Linked DNA regions of Arabidopsis thaliana. The protein of the gene in region 1 binds, or shares a complex with, the protein of each later gene. Each region holds a gene or a part of one and is shown in the gene's direction. Other genes may lie near its edges.

Evidence for each region.
Region 2: GIP1 (region 1) and SPC98 share a complex: the UniProt entries of both Arabidopsis thaliana proteins name them as parts of the gamma-tubulin complex.
Region 3: GIP1 (region 1) and AT5G17410 share a complex: the UniProt entries of both Arabidopsis thaliana proteins name them as parts of the gamma-tubulin complex.

The regions. Positions count from the first base shown.
Region 1 is NC_003075.7:6,037,235-6,043,314, forward strand, and holds GIP1 (AtGCP3 interacting protein 1), read left to right. Parts: upstream 1-1,820; 5' UTR 1,821-1,972; exon of another isoform or gene 1,973-2,460; 5' UTR 2,461-2,471; coding exon 2,472-2,687; 3' UTR 2,688-2,691; intron 2,692-2,801; 3' UTR 2,802-2,992; downstream 2,993-6,080. Other genes in the region: CRP4 (ECA1 gametogenesis related family protein), read left to right, coding at 335-703; AT4G09560 (Protease-associated (PA) RING/U-box zinc finger family protein), read right to left, coding at 4,418-5,001, 5,083-5,487, 5,618-5,854. UniProt on the Arabidopsis thaliana protein: Required for gamma-tubulin complex recruitment to the microtubule organizing centers (MTOCs). During mitosis, modulates gamma-tubulin complex localization, spindle stability and chromosomal segregation. Necessary for gametophyte development and embryogenesis.
Region 2 is NC_003076.8:2,053,945-2,062,054, forward strand, and holds SPC98 (spindle pole body component 98), read left to right. Parts: upstream 1-2,583; 5' UTR 2,584-2,796; coding exon 2,797-5,051; intron 5,052-5,163; coding exon 5,164-5,425; 3' UTR 5,426-5,915; downstream 5,916-8,110. Other genes in the region: AT5G06670 (P-loop containing nucleoside triphosphate hydrolases superfamily protein), read right to left, coding at 77-156, 384-473, 654-751, 846-1,075; WCRKC1 (WCRKC thioredoxin 1), read right to left, coding at 6,908-7,103, 7,192-7,266, 7,639-8,012. UniProt on the Arabidopsis thaliana protein: Gamma-tubulin complex is necessary for microtubule nucleation at the microtubule organizing centers (MTOCs). Required for the positioning of the gamma-tubulin-containing complex on pre-existing microtubules and for the proper organization of cortical arrays.
Region 3 is NC_003076.8:5,727,218-5,737,761, forward strand, and holds AT5G17410 (Spc97 / Spc98 family of spindle pole body (SBP) component), read left to right. Parts: upstream 1-3,392; 5' UTR 3,393-3,433; coding exon 3,434-3,517; intron 3,518-3,632; coding exon 3,633-3,691; intron 3,692-3,806; coding exon 3,807-3,855; intron 3,856-4,158; coding exon 4,159-4,293; intron 4,294-4,726; coding exon 4,727-4,858; intron 4,859-5,396; coding exon 5,397-5,480; intron 5,481-5,557; coding exon 5,558-5,656; intron 5,657-5,755; coding exon 5,756-5,847; intron 5,848-6,129; coding exon 6,130-6,202; intron 6,203-6,276; coding exon 6,277-6,429; intron 6,430-6,517; coding exon 6,518-6,637; intron 6,638-6,723; coding exon 6,724-6,777; intron 6,778-6,921; coding exon 6,922-7,005; intron 7,006-7,121; coding exon 7,122-7,196; intron 7,197-7,282; coding exon 7,283-7,393; intron 7,394-7,626; coding exon 7,627-7,752; intron 7,753-7,863; coding exon 7,864-7,971; exon of another isoform or gene 7,972-8,382; intron 8,383-8,436; coding exon 8,437-8,499; intron 8,500-8,575; coding exon 8,576-8,650; and 6 more. Other genes in the region: AT5G17390 (Adenine nucleotide alpha hydrolases-like superfamily protein), read left to right, coding at 423-897, 984-1,069, 1,175-1,471; ER-ANT1 (endoplasmic reticulum-adenine nucleotide transporter 1), read right to left, coding at 1,798-2,082, 2,165-2,536, 2,624-2,887; IRX3 (Cellulose synthase family protein), read right to left, coding at 9,642-10,223, 10,304-10,544. UniProt on the Arabidopsis thaliana protein: Gamma-tubulin complex is necessary for microtubule nucleation at the microtubule organizing centers (MTOCs). Required for the positioning of the gamma-tubulin-containing complex on pre-existing microtubules and for the proper organization of cortical arrays.

The DNA.
Region 1 (6,080 bases):
GTTTGTTTGAATTTTGAGATATAAAACTGGTGATTGATTAATTATGTGAAGTCATACGTTATACTTTTATTTTCTCTCTTTTAATCAATATTTCTTAGTTAATGTTGCTTCTTTTACACTTGGAGTTTCGTCTTTATTTTGATTTATAAAACTGTTAATCAAATACCTAATTAAACCATTCAAAGATGTTATTAAAATAATTAATATCACAGTTTTACATTTCATTCCATATAAATAAGCAGGAATCTTATTGTTGTTCATCAATCAAAAACAAACAGAGCATTAAGCATATATTTGGCTATACTAAGGCTTTTTTATTTCTCAGTTTCTCATTATGCCTATCAAAAATGTGTTTTCACTCTTAGTGGTTCTATGCATCATAGTTTCTGTAAATGCTCAGTTACCTCAGTTTCCGGCTCCGTTTCTTTTTCCATTTTCGTTTCAACCGATTCCTGGAATGCCAGGATTACCTGATATAACGAAATGTTGGTCATCCGTGATGGATATTCCTGAATGCATTGCAGAGATTTCTCAATCCATTTTTATTGGCAAATTCAGTAATTTAGGTTCTGCTTGTTGCAAAGCATTTTTGGACGCTGAAGCCAACTGCATACCAAAAATTCCACTTATTCCGCTTTTCCCTCCGATGCTAAAAGAACAATGTTCAAGAATTGCCGGTGTAACTCCTCCTACACCGAAATAGAGTTTTAAATTATTATTTTTTAAATAGATAATTTTTTTTCCAATTTATTTCTTACAATTTTAGCTTACGCTACATGTTATACTCCAAAAAAATATCATATAAAGTAAAAACATTTGAGAAGTTGTATTTGGGTTCAATATTTACTCATTCTTCAATTCTAATGAATAACAGCTTGAAACATCGATTCTATAATTAACTTTGTCTTACAATGTTTCAAAACTTGGAATTATATTAGATAATTCCCTTCTAAATAGACAGTTGTGAGAATTAAATAATTTTTTACGAGATTTAAATTTTACATAGTAATCTGTATTTTCTAAATACAAATTTTAATCTTACACATTCTATAGATTCTATATAACATGCTTTTATTGATTACATATAATAAGGTATTTCTCAGAGTACAACACAAAGATAAGACAAAGACGACTGACGACATACAACATCAAGAAAAAGACGGACGCAACGGAGCCTCTAGATGCATATTGTTGTAAACAAATTGAACGATATAATTGAGGGAAAAAAATAAACTTAAGAAAATAAAAGAATAAACATATTTAAGTTATTAGAAAATATTAAAACACATATTAATATTTTTCAAAACAAAATAAAGAACTTATACTTCTGTTTTGAATATATCAATTTTAATAGAATTAGTTCATTAGTTCAATAGTTTAGTATATTAAATAAAAAATTTGAATATAGAAACATTATTTTTGACTTTATGTATATATTTCTTTTTCAATAAGGTTAGAAAAAATTTCTATTTATGTTTTTAAATATAAAAAAATTTGATTTGACATGTGCGAATATCTTATTAATAAATTTGACACGTGAGTTAATAATTTTGAAAACTCATTTCTTATATAATGAAATAAGCATTTGTTCGAGAAAAAAATATTAAAAACAAACATCTTCTATATGATTTATCTCAATTATAAAAAATCTGTTTTTTTCAGATGTTAAAAAAGAAAAACAATTGTGTCAGAGTTATATTATTTTCTTTTCATTAGTATAATTCATTAAAAAAAATTAACACTATCAATCTTAGTGTCGGAGTTATATTTCAAACATATTTTTGTTTAGAATATTAATATGATTATTGAAAGACAATAAACTTTTTTTCTTTTGACATAACACAATTTACATTTATTGAAAGACCTCCAAGTCCTTTCCCTTCGTCTCCCACTTCTCACTTCACACTGTGAGTCTGCGACTATCTCCAAGACCAAGCTTCATACTTTATTTTTGCAAATTCCGTTTCTAAACGTAAGTTTTCTTATCTTCGTTTCTATCAGATTACTCCTTAATTCTTAGTCTCGAAATAAAAAATTTGAAATTTATTCGATGTTATGCAAATTGCCGCCGACATAAAAACCCTAATTTCAATCTCATTTTTCATCTGAATTACATTTCTTTTGAATTGAATGTTTCTGGGTTGTGTTTTGGTTTTGGTATTAACTGATCTATTAGACTAATCCTTGTTCACCTATCAGATAATATTATTGGGCTCTGAAACAAATTTGACTCACTTTTGTGTGTGTGAGCATTGTATCTTCACTACAAAGCTCTAGCTTGAAATGTTGTTGTGTAATTTATAAGACTCTAGTTTCTAACTTCTTATGTCAAAATCACCTAAGAGTCTTTGACTTGGTTCTTGTTAGATCATAGTTCACTTACTTTTGTCTAATTTGGTTTGGTAGAAACTCTATAATTCACTAACTACCTTAGGACTTTAAAATTGTGGAGTTTAACAGGTGTGATCAGTATGGATGAGGAGGCATCTCGGACAGCAAGAGAGTCACTAGAGCTTGTGTTTCGCATGTCAAACATCTTGGACACGGGTTTGGACCGGCATACTTTGTCAGTTCTCATAGCTCTTTGTGATCTTGGTGTTAACCCTGAAGCTCTAGCTACTGTTGTGAAAGAGCTTCGTCGCGAGTCTATCCCCGATTCTGTCACAACCACACCATCTATACACTGATCAGGTATTGAGAATTTTCTCAGTCTAATGATGATTGACGAGTCTATGCCCAAGTCTACCTCTTTCTGTTGTTTTCAGATCTAACATATCGACCGGTCGAAATTTATGTTGCAGGTATGCAATGGATTATACAAGTATTGTGGTTGGTATGTGAATCTTGTTACTACTTTTTTTGTATCATTTAAACAAAATTTGTATGGATGAATTATAACTTCTTTTATTTGTATGAACCGTTATTTGAAAGCCAAAGTAGCAGAATGCAAAAAAAAGTATATAATTGTAATTTTATCTCTCAAAAGCTCATAGAAAATTCAGTGATCATGTGTCACTAAAGCAGAATGCAAAAGGAATTTGGGATCATCTGATTCACAACCCCTGGAAGGTAAAAACATTCTATGTATCCCCGAAGAGGGAAATCACACTCAATCAAAATCTCTGCACACCAAATCTCCGTTTTACATTCCTTAGTATAAGTCTTCCACCGAACTATCACTCTCCTTCCTCAGGCCAGGGTTTTGTCACCGAAATAAGATACTTAGAGGACGGTTCTTCAAGTCCTCTAATCGTGAACGTGCATATATCACCGCAGACTAGTTTCGAGTTTCAGAAACCCTCGCTGTCCACCATACGTTATTCTTTGACTCTAACAAGCAAACAGTAGGGCACAAACCAATAATTTTCTCGCGAGAAAATCTTCCAGTACATTTTGTTGGCTCCCAAGTCTGTGTCTTTGGGTCGTAAACTTCTCCATAATTCTCAGCAGTGTCATAATACTTACTGCTGATGCCTCCAAACACAGATCTTACCGTCGATAACATTAAAACATGCTTCTTCTCGAGGGACATGCATCTTGGGGAGTTGACGCAAATGATGAGTTTTACAACCAAGTAAATATCTGAACCAAGTGATACAACAGTCGAAGAACTAGGATGTTGGTAAGGAAAGTTAGGAAGTGAAGGGACTGGTATCAGTTTCTGGTTGGGAGAAAGGGAATGTACGAACCAGCCAGGTTTTTTATTTAAGTTTAAGCAAACATAGAGACACTTCTCCTTTTTTCCTATAAGGGATCTTGCGGCCTCGAGGTCAGGGGAAGCTAGGAGTGATCGGAAAGTCTTTGGAGACTAGAGATAGGGTTGGATAATGGCACACTTCTACAAAGTATTGGAAATGTGTTTTTCTTTAAGCCTAGAGACAAAAGGCCTGAGTTTTACTCTTTCACAATGGCTAATACATCCATAGATTTCTGTCTTTAATTGACTCTAATACTTGTATTTCTTCCGTGGCCTTTACGCCAAATCAATCTGTGGTAACATCGGTAGGAAGAAAATATTATAATATTCGTCTTCACCTGTTAATCTACTCGGTAAGTATACGGTATAGTTTCTGCGTAATGGTTAAACTTTTAGAAGACAAGTATTAAGCATATATAGACAAAGAACCAAAGTAATAAGCTAGTTATATACCCACACTCAATGGTTAGCTTAATGATTCACCAGAGACGCTTTACTCTTCAAACTCACTCATCTCACATTCATCATTACTCCACAACTGTACAGCTGAAGAATATCAGTCACACTGAACACTCTTTTTAACTCTATTGTTTGCCAAAATCATGCATGGTCACAAATTCATAGCCGAGGGACATCCTCAGAGGAGTTGATTGCTTCTTCAAAGCAATGAGCCCCGACATTGAACCTTTTGGTTAGTACGGTGTTACCTTTTTTGCGGTTTTACCAGCCTGGTAAGGAGCTCGCAGATGCAAAGTGAATGAAAGACCTGCGCGAGTCATTTTGATGAAGTGAATGCTCGCGCTGGCTTGTTAACAACCCAACAACCTGGCTTCTTGATGCATTTCCCGGGCCAAGTATGTGCGTATATCTTGAGTGGAGGAAACGAGGCAAAGAAACCTGGTGGGGTGAGTTGTAAGATCTTTGGGAAACGGCGTTCCTGAGATCTGCTGAACTCCGGCTAACTGGTATAGGCCGGGAAAATCGGTTTGATCCATTTTGGAAGCTTGTGTGGGAGCGAGAGTGGGAGAGATACATAGGAACTGTGTGTGGCTGCATTGAGGTGGATGGTAAAGAAGGGTCTACTCTGATGGATATTGGTAGCTCATGAGATGACTGCAATGGGGTTGTGGAGGATGATGATAAGAGAAACGATGACGTCGGGGTCATGCTAGGAGTCCGAGAAAGAAAGGGTGTGTGCTCTGATGGGGGCTTGTCGGTACTGATGCTTCTTGCATCGCGTTTGCAAACCGGGCAAAAGGATTTCCTCTGGCCAAGCCACAAGTCTACACAAGCAACATGAAATTCTGCCAAGACAACAAGAAGAACCAATTAAGAATGGTTATGCATGAATTTTTTTTTACTTCGAACTGAGTCAAAGTACTTACTGTGATGGCAAGGTAGGATCCTTAGCTTGTCCCCTTTCTCATAATTCTCAAGGCATATGCAGCACAATATAGATGTAGTTGCTTCATCACAAATACCGTTAAATATGGTAGTAGGCATACGTATTATCATGCTTTTGGGCATACGATGAAAGTCATTGCCATTAAGAGCCAGAATACGCCGACGCCTAACTCGATGCCTACGGACAAAGAAGCAAGTAGCGAGCACAGCCGACATGGCGAGGAGAGATATGAAAGAAATAGCCATGATTGACCATGCTGAAGTCTCGAAACTTGGCATGAGCCACACTTCAAAATCGGTACGACCCGCATACTCTTTAAGTACTTCCCCAGTTGCTTTGGAGACAAACGTACCATAAATAAGTACACCAGAGGGGTTTCCTGCCACTACATTAGATTCACAAGATCATTAACAACTAATGTATGTAACCAAAGTCTCAAGCAACAAATCAAAACAAGAAACAATACAAAGCCTACGACAAAATAACGAAAAAAGGCGAGGGAAAGAAGTGTTTACTTGATACTAAGAACCCAAAATCTTCATAGTCATAAACAATAGCAGCTTTATAACCAGCCTTTTGAGCATTCCTAATCTTATCTTCGAAACTACAACCACCGCGGATAATCAACACATACGGAGGAGACACAGTAGTTCCATTTTTCACATTCACCGTATTCACCAAATCCGAACAAGCATCGAGTGGCTCTGCTACATACAACACACCGCCTTGATCCGATCTCTTAATCATCGGAGCTGAAAAAACAGTAAATCAATCACCATTACCATCAAAGCCAATGAACAAAAATCTGATAACAACCCAATTTCTCAAATCTGATTTAGAACAAACCATAACTTGAAAAAGACAACAAAGTTTCAAACTTTCTCTATAAACGATCAAACCCAAATAACAAAAGCTGAACAAATTCAAAACCCAATTTCTCAATTCTAATTTGGAACATTTCAAACAAACAATAACTTG
Region 2 (8,110 bases), on another chromosome or scaffold:
TGTACAAGGTAGTAACCTAATACGTTCTATTATAATAAGATGAAAAGCAAGAAATAACATGATTAGTGAATCTTACATGCATTGTATGAGTTTTCCCACTGCTTGTCACTCCATATGCGAAAATGGTCCCTGTGGTTGAATTAACACTCAAAGTCACTACAATAAAATCAAATTGGCAAGAAAATCTAACTTAAAGTTGTTCTAGAGACTAGAACAAGCACTAGATAGAGTTTGGCAACTCAAAGATCTCATTTTCTAAATGAATGGTCATGCAACTGTTCATGGTACTGTAGCTCGGGTAAGCTTGATACTAAAAATATCTTTTTCTCTTCTAAGAATAAAGTCTTAACTAGAGAGGGCAATAATAAGTGTTTAGTCCATACCATTGACCCCCGCCATAGCACCATTAACGACATGCTGAGCAGCAACATCATAGACATTGCGTGTAGTCGTAGTAGGCCCGAAAACACGATCTGCAAGAAAGGACAACAGAAATTTCAAGAAAAAATATGGCAGATTGGACCTTGATATCTAGTTTAATTTAGGTCTTGATTCATGATGCATGAAACTTCAATCCATTCCACAGAACAAGATTTATGATGGTTACAGAAACTCATGAAGTCATGAACACTAGTCAAACTGTTAAGACTAACCATAGGCATAAGCTATTGATTGATTATTCTCATTCCGCACTATCGTTTCCCCATCTGCATACCATGCAATCTCCTCTCCTTTCCGGATTTCCCTTGGACTAAGTGAAGCATAAACCAATGTCAACAATCCACAGAACAAACATATAAAACTAAAGTGTTTGAATCCTACACAAAAGAAATCAACATATTCACCTGAGTGGACGAAAACGCACAGTGACAGTGACATTTTCTTTGGACTGCAAAGGCTTAGGTGGTAACTGAGGCTTGCTTCGAACCGATGAAGAAGTAGGGGAGCTATGGCTATCTACAGACGCCTCTTGATAAAGTTTTGAAGACGAGGTTGTTGAAGATGCAGAGGACTCAACAGTCTTTAACTTGCTAAATCCACCATTTCTAGTCTTTGATACTTGTTTAGATCCCATCACAAAACCAAATTCAAACTTCGAGTGACTGAAAAAATGAAGAAAGTACAAAACTTTATCAAGTACAGACTGAAACCAAGCTAACGGAATTATGCTCGACTGTGTAATGAGCTAAAGATTCCTTTTTTTTTGTCAAACTGAGCTAAAGATTCCAAATTGTCATAGAGCAACTTGCAAATTGACAGGAAAGCAATGAAATTGGGAGTTTACAAAGCTCAATCGGTAAGCGAGTGAGAGAATCACAATGAGAGGAATAAGAGAATTACGGAAATGCCACGAGCTTCGAACACTTGGGTTAGGTCGAAAATTGCAATAAAAGAGAAGAAGAGAGGCAAGTGGGTACTAACTCAATGTAGCATCACCGCCGCTAAAAGCCGAATCGCATGCAAAGGATTATGATGATGCAAGAGAGAGTGAGTGATTACGTAGAAGAAGAAGAAGAAGAGGAACTTAAAGAAGAGAAAAGCATAATCATCATTAAAAGAGTAATTAGTTAGATGATTGCGATTGTTGTGTAAAAGAGTGTTTACTTTTTAATAATAATCTCTCGCTTGCCTTTGAAGTTTGAAGTGATAATACCCGAGTTTCAATTGTTTATTCGTTCTTCTCTTAAACTGTAATCACCAAAACATCATTAAGAGATAAAGATAAGAGAAGAATCGTATACGTACACATGTACAATTGTACGTATTTGCCTTCACGGATTTTTCTATGTCATAAATAGCTATAAACTTCTAAACTTTTGTTGTTGAATCAATTATGATTAGATAAGGAAGTAAATTGGTGTGAAAAAGATAAAGATATGGAAATGATAGTAAAGTAGTGTATATATATAAATGGTGTGCAATCTGTAACAAACAGAATATAGAGAAATTAATTAGTGAAAAAAGTAGAAAGTGATTGTTACAGGGAATATTTTTCCACATACGTAAAAATAGGTCTAATATTTTTACTTTTTAATTCCGATCTTGTACTTTTCTTTTTACAATTGATTAAAGTGGAAATAAGCTTCCTTTATTTTCATCTTCATTGATGAAAATAATGAGTAGAGAAACATTTTACTACCTAAAATGAGTAGAGAAATCATTCCTCTATTCAGAGAACAAATGTCTAAAATGAACTGTTTTTATTATTTTGCTCAATAAATACATAAATTTGGTAGATAAAACCAAATAATCTTTTTTAAATGCTAGTTAATTTTTTAAAAAAGTATACATTTTTATTGGTACCTTTTATTGTGAATTAAATATTATGAGGTTTTTTCATATTTATATATTTCTTTATTAATTTTAAAATGGAAAATTCTCAAAATTCCATTAAACAAAAAAATTCTACGTAACATATCAATTAACTTGTGAACTTTTTTTTAATTCAAACATTATTTTTCTCCGTTGTTTCAAATAATATATTTGAAATAAAACTTATAACAAAAAAAATGAGAAGATATTTTGCATAATGTTTTTTTATTCCAATGTTTTTGGATTTCAACATATGTATTCAATTGCCCGCCGAGGAAAAATAATTACATAGCTCTAAAGTCCAAAAGAAGCCCAATCTTTTTTTATTCGTTCACTCACTACTCTCTTCACTCGCCCAAACTCTGCAAAACCTCTTTCGATTTCAAAAATCAAATTCACCAAAAAAACTTCGAAGAACAAAAAAAATCCAAAAAAAGGTGAAATCGAAGAAGAAGAAAAAAAAGGCAAAAGCTTGAATTGATTATGGAAGACGACGATCAGCAGAAGGCTGCAGATCTAGTACAAGAGCTTGTTCTTCGTCTCGTCTCACAAAACCCTCAAACCCCTAATCTCGATCCCAATTCTCCCGCCTTCCTCAAAACCCTTCGTTACGCTTTTCGTATCCTCTCTAGTCGTCTTACTCCTTCCGTCCTCCCTGACGCCACCGCTATCGCTGAGTCTCTCAAACGCCGTCTCGCTACTCAGGGTAAGTCCTCCGACGCACTCGCTTTTGCCGATCTCTACACTAAGTTCGCTTCCAAAACTGGACCTGGCAGTGTCAATAACAAATGGGCTCTTGTTTATTTGCTTAAAATTGTTTCTGACGATCGTAAATCGGCTATAAATGGTCTTGATTCCTCGGTTTTGTTACCTAATTTGGGGATTGGTGATACTGGTAATGGGGTTTTGAGCCGTGGAGAGGCTAAGAAGAAGGATTGGAGTAATGGGGTTTTGTTGGTTAGTAAAGATCCTGAGAATTTGAGGGATATTGCGTTTAGAGAGTATGCCATTTTGGTTAAGGAAGAGAATGAAGTGACGGAGGAGGTTCTAGTGAGGGATGTTTTGTATGCTAGCCAAGGAATTGATGGGAAATATGTCAAATTTAACAGTGAAATCGACGGTTATGCCGTGCAGGAGTCTGTTAAGGTGCCTCGAGCTACGAGGATTATGGTTCGTATGCTCTCTGAGCTTGGTTGGTTGTTTAGAAAGGTTAAGACTTTTATAACTGAGAGTATGGATCGGTTTCCAGCTGAGGATGTGGGAACTGTTGGGCAAGCGTTTTGTGCGGCGTTGCAAGATGAGCTTTCTGATTATTATAAGTTGTTAGCTGTGCTAGAAGCGCAGGCCATGAATCCTATTCCTTTGGTTTCTGAATCAGCAAGCTCAAACAATTACCTTTCTTTGAGGAGGTTGTCGGTATGGTTTGCGGAGCCTATGGTGAAAATGAGACTGATGGCTGTTTTGGTTGACAAGTGTAAGGTTTTGAGAGGTGGGGCGATGGCTGGGGCTATCCATTTGCACGCACAGCATGGTGATCCGCTTGTTCATGATTTTATGATGAGTTTGCTTCGATGTGTGTGTTCTCCGCTATTTGAAATGGTGAGAAGTTGGGTTCTAGAAGGGGAGTTGGAAGATACTTTTGGTGAATTCTTTGTCGTAGGTCAGCCGGTTAAAGTCGATTTGCTTTGGAGAGAAGGCTATAAGCTCCACCCAGCAATGCTTCCATCTTTTATTTCACCAAGTCTAGCTCAGAGAATTCTGAGAACTGGGAAATCTATAAACTTTCTTCGTGTTTGCTGTGATGACCACGGGTGGGCTGATGCAGCTTCAGAAGCAGCAGCTGCCTCTGGGACAACAACTAGGCGAGGAGGTCTCGGGTATGGTGAAACAGATGCACTTGAACATCTTGTAACCGAGGCAGCAAAGAGAATCGACAAGCATCTGTTGGATGTTCTATATAAGAGATATAAATTTAAGGAGCATTGTCTTGCGATTAAGCGTTATTTACTACTTGGTCAAGGTGATTTTGTCCAGTACTTGATGGATATTGTAGGACCCAAGCTTTCTGAGCCAGCCAATAATATTAGTTCATTTGAGCTAGCTGGGTTTCTTGAGGCTGCAATACGAGCATCAAATGCACAGTATGATGACCGTGACATGCTAGACAGATTGAGAGTGAAGATGATGCCTCATGGCAGTGGAGACAGAGGCTGGGATGTATTCTCATTGGAATACGAGGCAAGGGTTCCATTAGATACCGTGTTTACTGAGTCTGTTTTGTCTAAATACCTGAGAGTGTTCAATTTTCTCTGGAAGTTGAAACGGGTAGAGCATGCTCTTATCGGAATTTGGAAGACCATGAAACCAAATTGCATCACTTCGAACTCATTTGTTAAGCTTCAAAGTTCGGTGAAGTTGCAATTACTCTCAGCCCTGAGGCGGTGCCAGGTCCTTTGGAATGAAATGAACCATTTTGTTACTAACTTTCAGTATTACATCATGTTTGAGGTATTGGAGGTATCATGGTCTAATTTCTCAAAAGAGATGGAAGCTGCTAAAGACCTCGATGATCTCTTGGCAGCGCATGAGAAGTACCTCAACGCCATTGTTGGAAAATCTCTTCTGGGTGAACAGTCACAGACCATCCGCGAATCACTTTTCGTCCTGTTTGAGCTTATATTACGGTTCAGGAGTCATGCAGATCGTTTGTATGAAGGAATTCACGAGTTGCAAATAAGGTGTGTTTTGTCTTTTATATTCAAACAAAAGTAGACCTTAAACTATTGCTCAAACATTTTCCTCTGATTTTAGGGTCACAATTTGATCTCTAATATCACCGATTTCCTGCAGATCTAAAGAATCAGGACGAGAAAAAAACAAATCGCAAGAGCCCGGTTCATGGATCAGTGAGGGTAGGAAGGGCTTAACACAGCGTGCTGGAGAATTTCTACAAAGCATGAGTCAAGATATGGACAGTATTGCAAAGGAATACACATCGTCACTTGATGGATTCCTATCTCTCTTGCCTCTGCAACAATCTGTAGATCTCAAGTTTCTCTTTTTCCGGCTTGACTTCACTGAGTTCTACAGCCGATTGCATTCCAAAGGATAAGAAAGTTGAAAGAGTATCAGGTTTAGTTGAAAAGCATATTGCACAATCGCAAGAGAAGAAGACATTATCTACGTCTTTCACTAACCGCTGACTGCAGCATGGGCTCTCCTGAACCAGGGATGCAGAGGTTCTTTTCTTAAAATCTAGGTGCGTGGGAGAATCTGTTTCTTATTTAGAGACTGCCTCATAGATTTTCTGTCTTTTGCATAGATTGTTTTTTCAATGGCTTGTTTCAAAGTTTAGGATTGGGAAACAGATTCTTTGTGTTGGTAAATTGGGGAAGGTTTGTGTTTGAGTTTGTGCTATAAGTCTGATGATCTCCAGCTTTAGTTTTTTTTCTTCTTCTGTGGTTCACTGATTTGTATGATTTGTTTTATGACTTGGTTGATATAAGAAGGAATCAGTTGCTTCTTCATAATGTGTATCTCCATAGTGTAAAAGGCTCCAAACTCTGAATTTTTCACTATCTAGAAGCTTCTGTAGCCACGGCCTGAGATTGAGCACAAGCATTAGCTCACAGTGATTTTAATCCGCAAGCCTTTCTCTTGCAATTAAGAAGAACCTTTGTGATACTCTTCCTCTCATCCACATTGATCTATCTCTGTGTGAATGAAGCATATGAACAACAAAAAACAAGTAGCTTTTGGCAAGAGTTACAGTCTCAAAATCTAAAGCAATCGTGTCCAATTTAAAAGAAAAAACAATTCACGGTTGTCGATTAATTTGCAAGTGCAGGCCAAACTGGAGGTTAACATATAAGGAAAAAAAAAAGGTGAAAAAATTCGTCGCCTGAGAGATTCGAACTCTCGCGGGGAAACCCCATTTACTTAGCAGGCAAACGCCTTAACCACTCGGCCAAAGCGACGATGATGCTCAATTAATGAATTGATTAATTTAATCGTTAATTGAAATTATTAGTATAAAATAGAAATCAAAATGTGAAATTTCTTCCAAAACATTAGCTTTTCATTCACTCGTAGAACTTGTAATAGAGTAGCTCATTTACTTGCCAAACATGGTTGTCTTCAATGTAACTACTACTCTGATTATGCTTGTCCTCCTAATTGAATGGTTGAACAATTGTACCTTGACTTTAGCCATTCTTAATTAACAAAGCTCAATCTCGACGAAAAGAAAAAAAAATGTGAAATTTCTTGATTATCAAAAAAAGGAGTTTTTAAGTTTGAAATTGTATAAAGAAAGAAAATAAGAAAACTGACTGTACATATTAATTTTTTTTAAAAGAAAAAAAAAAGGTAGGAAATGAAAAAAAAGAGAGAACTAGACAAATTTGTTGATCAATTCTCTAACTTCTTCGATGACAAGCCATCCTTTGTGACCTCCAATCACCTCCTCTTTCATCTCATCTTCCTTCCATAACTGCATTCACCACTCATTTTTCTCATTATTATGTTAATTTACTTTTTCACTATTACTTTATTGTCAAATGCGTATCAAGAAACTCAAAATACTGATGTTGTATTAGATGAAAGTAAGCATACCTGAATAGTAGGCATTTTCTGCATAACACACGAATATGGAAGTAATTGGTTCAGATTTGGCACATACCACATCAGAAAAGAAGGACAAAATTATGTTTAAGCATTTTACCGAAATGTTTCCACGTTTCACCAAGGTTTGAGGGACCTTGTTTACATCCACATAGTAAAACTTTGCTCTGTTGTAAGAAAAATCATTTTTGTTCACAATATAATCAACCTTTGCAATAACATCCATGTAAATTGTTGATTCTTTTGTTAGCTTACCGGTTATTATATTCTGCCGCTAATTTCTCCAACTTAGGCTTCAAGTAAATACATTTTCGACACCAAGAAGCCATCCTGCCCAAATATTTCTCACAATTCTTCATAACCAAACATATATAAAGGCTTTGATTGGTGTGTGGTTGAGTTGTCAAAAATAAAGTAAAAATCCGGCAAAATGATCTTGCGACTTGCGAGAAAAATATAACCTAGCAAGAAAACTACAAAAAATATTGAACTCCTTTGATATCCATCATTATAACAAAAGAGAGTTCAACAAACCAATCGGAGCCGGGATAAAAAAAAAACTTGAACGCATTTTTGTATGATTTTTTAGTTAACCTAATTTTTCCGTAAGTGTTGACCATGCTCTGGACTAGCTTTCCTATAGAGAACCAAATCTAATTTGGATTGTGGAGATTGGATAAGATATGATTTTGGTGTGTTTACCATTCGATGATGATAGGCTGAGAGAGTTGGCGTGCGTGAGAGAGAACAGCATCGAGTTCTTCAACGTTGTTAATGGGTTCCATCTCCAAAGTCGTAGGCTGAGCTATGTTTGACCAAAAGGCTTTTAGTCTCCACTCTTTCTCCATATGTGACCTCCCAAGCTTTTCATTACTGTAAACGCTCACACAAAACCCACACTTCTTCTCCAAATTTAAACTCTCTTTCCTCCACAATTGTTCCTTCTTGTTACCGTGAGCTTGTCTAGTTAGCATTTGGGGGTTTGATGCCAAAGCTGCCATTATTTTTTTCGCTTTCAGTAAATTTTTTGTCGATGAAGATATGTGACGAGATATTTTTAAGTTTTCAAATGCCATAATTAAGATATTTTTTTTGTTTTTGAAAGTTTTGGGAAGAGATGTGAGGAGATGGATAGAGAGCTTATCCGGAAGATGAGTTGGACAATGCCAACGAT
Region 3 (10,544 bases), on another chromosome or scaffold:
TAACCCTTGAGGGCTGCCACTAGAATTGTTTTGTAGTTAGCAAAGAAAACAAATCAAATTTGGATTTGTTCTTTTACACAAAGTGGATGATTTTGACCACGACAAAACTAGAGCACCACTCAAAGATTTCTCATGATTTTGCGAGTCTACAAAATAAATTTTTTTTTCTCCAACGGTAGTGAATTCCACAATCGATTGAGCTAACAATTTATCAAATAAACTTGGACTCGTTTAATTTAATGAAGAAAACAGAAGAGCTTGACAAAAAGAAAAAAACAACAACGTGTGGAACCATTAACAATCAAACATCTTTAATGGCACGCACGTCCTCTCTCAAAAAATTTCCTCACGTATACATACGCTCAAAACATTCAAGAACCAATGCTAAGGTTCCCATTTGAGTTCTTTTTGTAAACAAAAACATGGCGAGATCGCTCAAGAAATCAGCCAAGTTGAGTCTAAGAAGAGTCCGGATCAATTCACCTTCGATTAGGTTCAAACCGGACTCGAGTTCCATAGAGAGAGACCAAAGAATCGAGTTTCTAGGCGAAAATGGTGATGATGCCGGATCCGGAGAAGAAGACACCAAAGAAGCAAACAATGAAAGTGAAGAGGTTGAAGATAAGGAAGAAGAAAGAGTCAAAGTAATTGTAGAGGAGGAAGAAGAAAAAGAACAAGATGATGCCAAGAGCTTTAACATTGGAGGCGGAGAAGGAAAAAAAGAGGCGGTGGCAGCGGTTGAGGCGGTTGAGGAGGAGGCGGAAGGCGGGAATAGAGTAATGGTGGTGGTTGATAAAGCGCTTGCTTCTACCGGAGCTTTAGAATGGGCTATTACGCATACTTTACAACCACAAGACACTCTTTTTCTGTTATACTTTGCAAAACCGTTTAGAAAAAGTTCTTCTCTTTCTCTCCTCTTTGTCAATTTTCTTGTTTAAGGTTTGTTTGGTTTGGCTAATGAGGTTTTTCGGATTGAGTTTTAGGTAAAAGGAAGAACCGAAAACGCGAGGTGAAAACCGATGAATTGGTCCATACTTTAAAGAAACTGTGCCAAACGAAACGACCCGGGGTGAGTCACACTTGGTATTCGATTGTTTATACATATAATGAAAGCTACACTATTACTGTTCTGATCAAATTCTGGCGACGTGTGGATTTCTTTTATGAATGTCAGATAGAAGTGGAGATAAGGAGGTTAGAGGGGAAAGACAAAGACAAAGGGCAGAAGATAGTTGAAGAATCAAAGAAACAACAAGTGAGCCTTTTAGTGGTTGGACAAGAGAAGAAACCTCCGGTCTGGAGGCTATTGAAGAGATGGGCGTGGAAGAGACGCCGTGGACACGAAGGTGTTCTCAAATACTGCCTCGAAAACGCCTCTTGCATGACAATCGCGGTTAAACCCAAGAACCGCAAGCTCGGCGGTTACTTAATCACCACCAAACGCCACAAAAACTTCTGGCTTCTCGCTTGACAACAACGCAAGTTTTCCTCTTTTGTGTTTGTATCATTCATAAGGCTTTAAAATTTTTTCACCTATTTCATCTTTTATACATGAAACAAACTTGCTCCAGTACACAAAAATCAAATAGGCCTTTCTTGGATTATTGATATAACAATGTTACTGCACAAGAACTATGAACAATTTTCCCTATCTTCTGCTGGTTCAATCGGTTAATGATTCCGAGATTCTGTTAATTAACACAATACATTGGAAAGCAAGTGAGACTTCTTGGTGTTTACTAACCTTCTCTTTTTGAGCTCAGCTTTCATTGTCATCGTTTCGGGTTTGGTCCAAAACTACTGAACCCAATGCTTATAAGCAATCTGGTGAAGCTGATCATATCCCGCAAGCACTCCTGCTCCTGCTACTCCAAGAAGCATGTTCGCAGTAACTCCTCTATATAGCGCATAGAACCCTTCCGACTTCAATATCTCTCTTAAGGCATGAATGGTGTTCCGGTATTTAACAGGTTGTCCTGATGTAAGCATCATTCTCCTCCTAAGTGTGTCAAAAGGGTAAGCAATGACGCCTGCAGAGGTAGTAATACTCCAACCCAATAGAAAACTAGCCAAGAAGTTTCCCTGTCACGGAATCAAAGAACCATTTTTAGCTATTTTCTGCTATAGATTAAGAAATAATAACGGCATACATAGATGACATTACCTCTAAGGAACCGACTAACACAATGGGTTTGATGGTGTCGTACATCCCAAAATACATTCCTCGGTAAAGAGTGATTCCCACTATTGACACACCAAATCCACGGTAAAGACCTTTAATACCGTCACTTGACAAAGTTTTACGATACACATCGATCATCCCTTTAAACTGTCTCTTGCCATTAACAGAACATTCCTTTGCATCAGTGCCTAAACGGGTCCGCGCATAATCCAAATGGTACAGAAACAAGGAAGTTGTTGCTCCAGCAGCACTTCCCGAAGCTACATTTCCAGCAAACCACTTCAAGTAACCATCTTTCTCTTTCGAACATCCAAGAAGGTTCTTGAAGTAACCTTTAAATGCAAAGTTGGAAGCCTAAAAGCAATTAAATTTAGTGACAATAAGAATCTAACACAAACCTCAGCACGCTGATCTAAAGTAAGGGTTCTTGGAATGTAGTACCTGTGTAGGGAAATATCGTATGACATTGGCTTGGTTTCCTCTCCAAAAGGACAAAACACCTTCTTCTCTATAGATTCTGGTAAAGCAATTACCCAAACCAGTGTAAGGTCTTATGAGATGTCCAGTCTTTATCATCTCCCCTTGATTCTGCAGTAAAAGCTTCACCCTTTCGATTGGAGCAGCTGCAGATTTGGCAACAATGGCTGCAGCACCACCCATCACAAAATCAGCAGAGAATCTCTCGGATTTTCCGATCAAAGCCATCCTCTTTTCCCTCACCTAATTCTATACCAATAAATATAGAGATGTTATGGGCAAGAGTTTCTTCTGGGTTCTAGAAATATCAAATCCTAAAGCTAAAAAGGAACAAAATTTGATAATAAAAGGAAAGGTTTTGAAGTGAAAAACCTGGAGATTGCTAATTGATTCTCCGCCGCAGAGAGAAGAACTCGGCGGCGAAAGATTGATTTCCAGGTCGAGGAGGAGAAGAAGAGGAGGCGATTTCGTTATTTCGTTTTGAGAAGCCAATAAAATAGAAAAGAGATAATCATTTTCTGTGAATTTCAAAGCTGGAGGTGGAGGACAGGGCAGGAGCAATGGCTGGTTTTTTCTTTCTTTACTTAAAAAAATGGTTTTGTCCTTTTTTAATTTCGAATTTGAAACCAGGATCTGGAAATTTCTGGTTCAATTAAAACCGGACATTTTAAGGAAAACCGGAGATGGTTCGGTATATGGTGACTGTCTGACTGATCTGTGTCTTCTTTTTCATAAAGGTTTAAACTTTTAGTTCCAGAGACTGGGAGCGAAGCAATGGAATCAATGACGCCAATCTCGTGCCCTACGACTCCTCGTTGGAACCAAGACAGACCATTTCTCACTGGTCGCTTCCATCAGGTGCTCGATCTTCAGATGTGCTTGATTTTAGTTCTCTAATTCGTTCAAATTCTATTTAATTGTGAACATTGGTAACTTCTGAGAAAAAGTAGTTTTGACAATGGGTTTATCTCAGGAAACGAGGGCAAGCTCCAAGTTTGCTGATTCTAAGAGGTTTACTTTAGACTCGTCTAGGTATTTTGAAATTTTATACTAAAAATTAGTAATACATCTCTGTTTTAACCTCCCAAAGTCTGTTCCTTTTTCATCTTATTCTAAAGAGTCATTGACCTTTATATTTTGCTTTCAGCAGTTCTGGAGTAGAGCAGGCAATTGGCTGCTATGACACACCGGTTCAGGTTTGTGTTATTTTACAAAGCAAGTCTGTCCCTTTTTTTCTTGGCTTCCACTTATTCTGTGAGATTGTTATTATGTAACCTTGAAACTAGTGTTGGGGTCCTTAAAGCTTGGGTTTGAGTTGTGTAGTTTTTACAAGTTGGCATCATTGTAGGTGAAGTTGGTTTCTCGTTTTCGTGGCATAGACTAGGATAATTGACCTGAGCTAAACAATTGTGGAACTTCCTAGCCTAGGTTTAGAATTGGTGTCACCTCTTTTGTTATGTCCATTTCAGTAACTGTTTTTTATTCCTTTTGGCATGCAGGAGCTTATCGTCATTGATGATCTCTTATCTGCGTTGGTTGGAATTGAAGGGAGATATATTTCAATTAAAAGATTCCATGGGAAGGAGGATAGTATAGCTTTCCAAGTTGATCCATCAATGGATTTGGCACTACAGGTAAGTAGTACTCAACACAATAACTTTTGGTTCCTATCCCAAACATTTTTATCATGATGGTCTACAGTAGTCAACTGCAAAAAATCTGTGATTTCTAACCATGCTTGATCTGTTCTTTCTTAGAGCTACCGGAATTAGTGCATATGTATCATGTATGTACAAAGTCTTTCACATATTGAGACTGTTACAGTGATGTTTGCAAAGTGTATATTTATGTTTATGAAACTTGATGCATTTCATTGGTGTTCTGACTTCTTGAAAGTTCAATTATCTCCGAAGTCCAATAAAATGGACACATGCATTACTATGTTATGTCTAGGATGGTTCTCTCTTTTGAATAGGATTTTTAGAGATGTTATAACGGATTAACATTGTAATTCTTTATTTAATTGGCTCTTCTCATATATATTGACCGTTGCAAATAATTTTGCAGGAATTGGCGAAAAGAATATTTCCTTTATGTGAATATTATCTGCTGATTGACCAATTTGTGGAGTCAAGCTCGCAGTTCAAGAACGGGCTAGTTAACCATGCATTCGCGGCTGCACTCAGGGCACTCCTCCTTGTATGTGATATAGGTTGCTAGCTTTGTGGAAATTGTGATCCATTGTTTGTTGAGTTATTTTTCGTTCCCTTTCTGTTACAGATGGGGGATTTTGCGAACTGGATATGGATTTTTTTAACTAATAGTCAAGTTTGGGGATTTACTCAGTAAACTAAAAATATGAACTTGGAAAGCTCATTTTAGAATGCTCTTAGTTTGTTTATTGGGTTTCTTTCTTGTCCACTGAATTGGTGTTTTTTTATCACATTTCTGAGTGTGTGTATATGCATATGTATGAATATCTAAGATGACACATATAGCTCTTACTGTCTTCTTTGTTCCAAGTTCTTACTGTCTCTCTAATCCCTCTCTTACTATTGCCGCATTGAATAAACTGATAGTCTGATTCTTTTCTTTCCATTTCACATCTTGAGTTTCGTGTCTAACACATGTCATGCATTTTTTGGACTGAGGATATCATTTTATGTTAGCTTTGAGGTAATTTGACAACATTCTTTGCTATTGTTACACTAGTATTAACCATCCTCTCTTTTACCAGGATTATCAAGCCATGGTGGCACAATTGGAACATCAATTTCGACTTGGAAGACTTTCTATCCAAGGATTATGGTTTTACTGTCAGGTCTGTCTTTCTTCAAATAATCCAAGCTACAAGTTACGTAAACATTATGCTGATCGATTGTTTTTCGTATCTCTCAGCCCATGATGGGATCCATGCGCGCATTGGCTGCAGTAATTCAGCAGGCTTCAACGAAGCAGTTTGTGGGTTCTGGTGTTCTTAATCTCTTGCAAAGTCAGGTAGATTCCTGCTTTGGTCATTAAAAGTTTTTGGATTTTTTTGGTACTAGAATTAGCTTTTTTATTAAATGTCCTAATCTTGAAGACTATCATGCCTAGGCTAAAGCGATGGCTGGTGATAATTCAGTGAGGTCATTGTTAGAGAAAATGACGGAGTGTGCAAGCAACGCATACCTAAGCATATTGGAAAGGTTGATTACCATGCCTCTTTCTTTCTTGCTCGTAACTAGACTCCCATAAAAAAAACATTGTGCTACAATCTCTGCCCTTTCCCTTTTGTTATTGCTTGGAATGCTCAGATAAATCTAAGTCCAACCTGTGACTATGTTTTTCCTTTGTTTGGATGGAGTGATTAGCGAACATGTTTGTTATCTTTTGGTTTGGCAGATCTGTACATGGTTACCCTATTTGCTAGATCGCTTATATTATTATTCTTTGATGTGTCAACTAACTTTAAATAGTGTTTAATTAAGGTGGGTCTATGAAGGGATCATTGATGATCCGTATGGGGAATTTTTCATTGCCGAGAACAGGTCTCTCAAAAAGGTACTTCGATTGCTCAGCTCGTCTGCACTATTGTTAATTGCTTGATCTAACAATGTCAATTTTTTTTTGTACAGGAGAGCCTCAGTCAGGACTCTACAGCTAAATATTGGAGCCAAAGATACAGCCTTAAGGATACTATTCCTGGCTTCCTAGCAAACATTGCTGCAACAATATTGACCACAGGGAAATATCTAAACGTTATGAGAGAATGTGGGCACAATGTTCAGGTATGATTGTGAATGAATTTCCTGTTTATTAATACAATTAACAGTGTTTGTGACACTGGACCCGACATTGGCTGATTTTTTTTAACAGGTTCCCATATCAGAGAGATCTAAGTTAACAATATTTGGGTCAAATCATCATTATCTTGAATGCATAAAGGCTGCTCACGAATTTGCCAGTATAGAGCTTGTGAATCTCATCAAGGATAAGGTAATACTTATTTTGTTTTATGATGACTGCTTCTTTGATGTCGTTCCTCGTCAATACACCTCTCTGACCATCAGTATATGATTCAGTATGACCTTGTTGGAAGGCTTCGATCTATAAAGCACTATCTTCTTCTCGACCAGGTATGCTGGTTCTGTTCATGAATAACCAGTTATCTTCAGAGTTCTTCAGAATTTCCTAGGCACAAATTTATCAATGTGAAAAGTCTGTTGTTGAGTTGTTTTCTTCAGTCATTGATTTTGGTATAACAATGTAATGAACTACAGGGTGATTTCTTGGTTCATTTTATGGACATTGCTCGAGAGGAGCTCAACAAAAAAGTGCATGAAATATCTGTTGAAAAGTTGCAGGTACTTTTTTCCCCTTTAGAGCATGATTCAAAATATTAGACAAAGCTTCTTACCATTATTAAATCGTTATGGCCTCTACTTGTTTGCTGGAATCTAAATGGATGTGTATTATTTAGTCTTTGCTAGATCTTGCTCTACGTACCACAGCGGCTGCAGCAGATCCTCGTCACGAAGACTTGACTTGTTGTGTGGTGAGCAGTTAATTTGTCTTTTCCTGGATGTGATGAATTTACAGAGTTTGTACATTATATGTTCTCACTTTGTATTCATATCTTAGGATCGAGCTTCATTGCTTACGACTTTGGGAATGCACAAGGACACTGATAGCAATAGTATTGAGGACCCAATGAGCATCACTGGTCTAGAGACATTTTCCTTGAGCTACAAGGTCTGCTCCTTTCTTGCCTTGTCTGCAACTACCTGTTTGTATCTGGATTCGAACTATTTTGTTCGTCGAGATATATATAAGTAATAACACAGCTTAATGGCTATTAATGGTTGTTATATATAACTACTAATGCATTTCTAGAGTCATCATTCATACTTATATAAGTAATCGACAAATGCATATTCGATTGGCTACTCAATTGTTTGATTGTTGGTTGTGGCTTTGTGTTTCAGGTTCAATGGCCACTATCTATTGTCATATCAAAGAAAGCATTGTCAAAGTACCAGTTAATTTTCCGCTTTCTTTTTCATTGCAAACATGTGGAACGCCAGCTTTGTGGTGCTTGGCAGATACATCAAGTAAGGACTGATATAATATTGTGTAGCTTGTAATTTGTTTCAGTTTTGGTTTCTTCTAAAACCATTTTAATCATTTTGCTTCGCTAACAAACTGCTGTGAAAATTCTACAGGGGATTCGGTCTATGAACTCTAAGGGTACAGCAATTCTTAGATCATCGCTTCTCTGCCGTAGCATGCTTAAATTCATCAGTAGCCTTCTACATTATCTTACATTCGAGGCAAGTCTGAATGTTCTTTTTGTTTTGTTTTGTTTGTTTTTTAAAACATTTTTTTTTGCTAATAGAATGGAATCTGAATATTTTTTTGTTTTTTAAAGATTCTGATTGTCTATTCATAGATCCTGTTTTCCATTGTGATTTTGCGGTGTAAGTCTCTGGAAAACTAACTTCTAGAATTGCTGACATACACTCTGTATATTGAATCCAGATATCTCTGTAGTCGTAAAAACCATACTTACAAATGTAGGCACTTCTTGCAACTGTGTTTTTCGAGAAATACATTCTTGAAAACGTGATTCTGGAGAAATAAGTACACTATCAATGAACAGAGGAGAGAAATCACACCAGAAGTATATAAAGACATAATTCTTTATGAGATGATTTGGTGTTTATTTTAGCAACTATTGCCTCTCTAAGTTTTTCTAATGTTGTTTTTGCTTGTCTTTATGTGGGATGTCTCTTCAGGTTCTCGAACCAAATTGGCATGTAATGCACGATAGACTACAATCCACAAGGAGTGTAGATGAGGTAAGTGTAGAGACCTGCTTTGTTTTGGTTTGCAGGGAAAACATTCTTCATTGAACAATGTGCCATCATCTTGCAGGTGATACAACATCACGACTTTTTTCTTGATAAATGTCTGAGAGGATGCTTGCTTCTTTTACCTGACGTCCTTAAGGTTTGTCGCTGTTCCACTAAATGTTATGTTTTCTCAGGACAGATGTAACAGTGTGATGTGCTTCTCTTTCGTGCAACAAGAGCAAAAATTCTGAACGCACTAATAATAGTGTAATGTTTATCAATATTTTACACTCATATTTACTGATGGTGCAGAAAATGGAGAAGTTGAAATCAGTGTGTCTGCAATATGCTGCAGCCACACAGTGGTTGATATCATCGTCTATCGACATCAATAGCCAGTCTCATCCACAGAAGACAATGATAAGAGACACAACCGTTACAGAGTCCATATTGTAAGTAGTAACAAGGAATTGTTTTTCAAACTAATGGCTACACTATCTCTACAAAAGCCGTTGCTGTTAGAATTTTTGAACTTCATTATCACGGTATTGTTCTAATATGTCTGTTACGTGTTCTACCAGCAATTTCGAAAGGGAGTTCAACTCGGAGTTGCAGAGCTTAGGACCAGTCTTGAGCAAAGGCTCCCAGGCTGAGCCATACTTGACTCATCTCTCCCAGTGGATCCTTGGTGTTTCGAAAGAATAAGAGGTGAGACTTTAACTAAACAAACTCAGGCAATTCAATTTGTTTTTTAATGTTATCAAATGATATTCAGCTTGAGAAGTTGTTATGAGATGTGTGCGTGTGTTTAGGCTTTTGTTGTCGTTTCTTTATTTTGTTTGTGAACTCCACGATATAAGAACAAGTCTCAGGCTCTCTGTTAAAAATTTGCATTCAAGATTTGTGGGTTTTCACTGCAACTACATGTCTCTTGAGGGAAGTATCTGTGAATCTTTTACTGTGTAACTAAAAAGTAGTTTTGTTCAAATTTTCTTACAATGCATTACTCGCTCACAATAAACCCAGATCCATCTGTTTTACTGGCTAATATACAATAAACAAAATCCAATTATGCAATCCAAAGAGAGAAGTGAAAACACTCTCGACAAAGTACAGAAAAAGTTTCAGAAGACGAAAAAGATTTTGCTTCAGCAGTTGATGCCACACTTGGAAGTGTCAGGTCCTTTGGTCTTGAGCACAAAAGGATCAATTCTTACCCAAAGCAAAGAGAAGATAGATGCCAATAACACTGACCAAATCACCACAATGGTTGGTGTTCTGTTCTGTCTACCCATCAGACCTTTGAGGAATGGGTAGAGATGAACAATGACCCAAAAGGAGAAGAAGAGTTTACCAAATAGAGGTCCCCAAGACTGATATCCATTGTTAATGGCATCTGAGATGCCTGCAACAACGCCAACAATGTTTATGATTAAGACAGTTGTTGGAGGGATCAGCAGTGTTGTCCATTTGAATGCGTAAAGTTCTCCAAAGTCATCATCATCTGTTGCCTTTGATGTGACGGTGAAGTTTGTGTCAATGCCTGCTAAGATTTTGAGGAGACCTTGGACAACCGCAAAGAGATGAGCTGAGATTCCTCCAATGACCCAGAATTGCTCGTTTCTCCACCATTCCTCAATGCTAACTCCGCTCCATCTCAATTCCAAGATTCCCGTTACAATGATCGACATAAACAGTGAGATGAAGAAGAGACTAGCAAATGTGCTTATCTGAAAGAAAAATTGGGAAAACAGATAGTTAGCACATTTGATGCAGCTTCTAAGTGCTTTTCTCTGATAATTTTACTAACCGGTGGCATGATGAATTTGTCAGTAAGGAGACAGATGGCTGGAAGGATACAGTAGGCAAGAAGTGGTATAGATGTGAAGGGGTAGATTGTTGTGTTGGCATAAGCAAAACGCTCAAGCCACTTGAGTTTGCCTCCTTTGTAGCCATACCAGAGAGGACTGTGCCGGCTGAAAAATATCTCAACCGATCCAAGTGCCCAACGCAAAACCTGGTTTAACCTGTCTGATAGATTAATAGGAGCT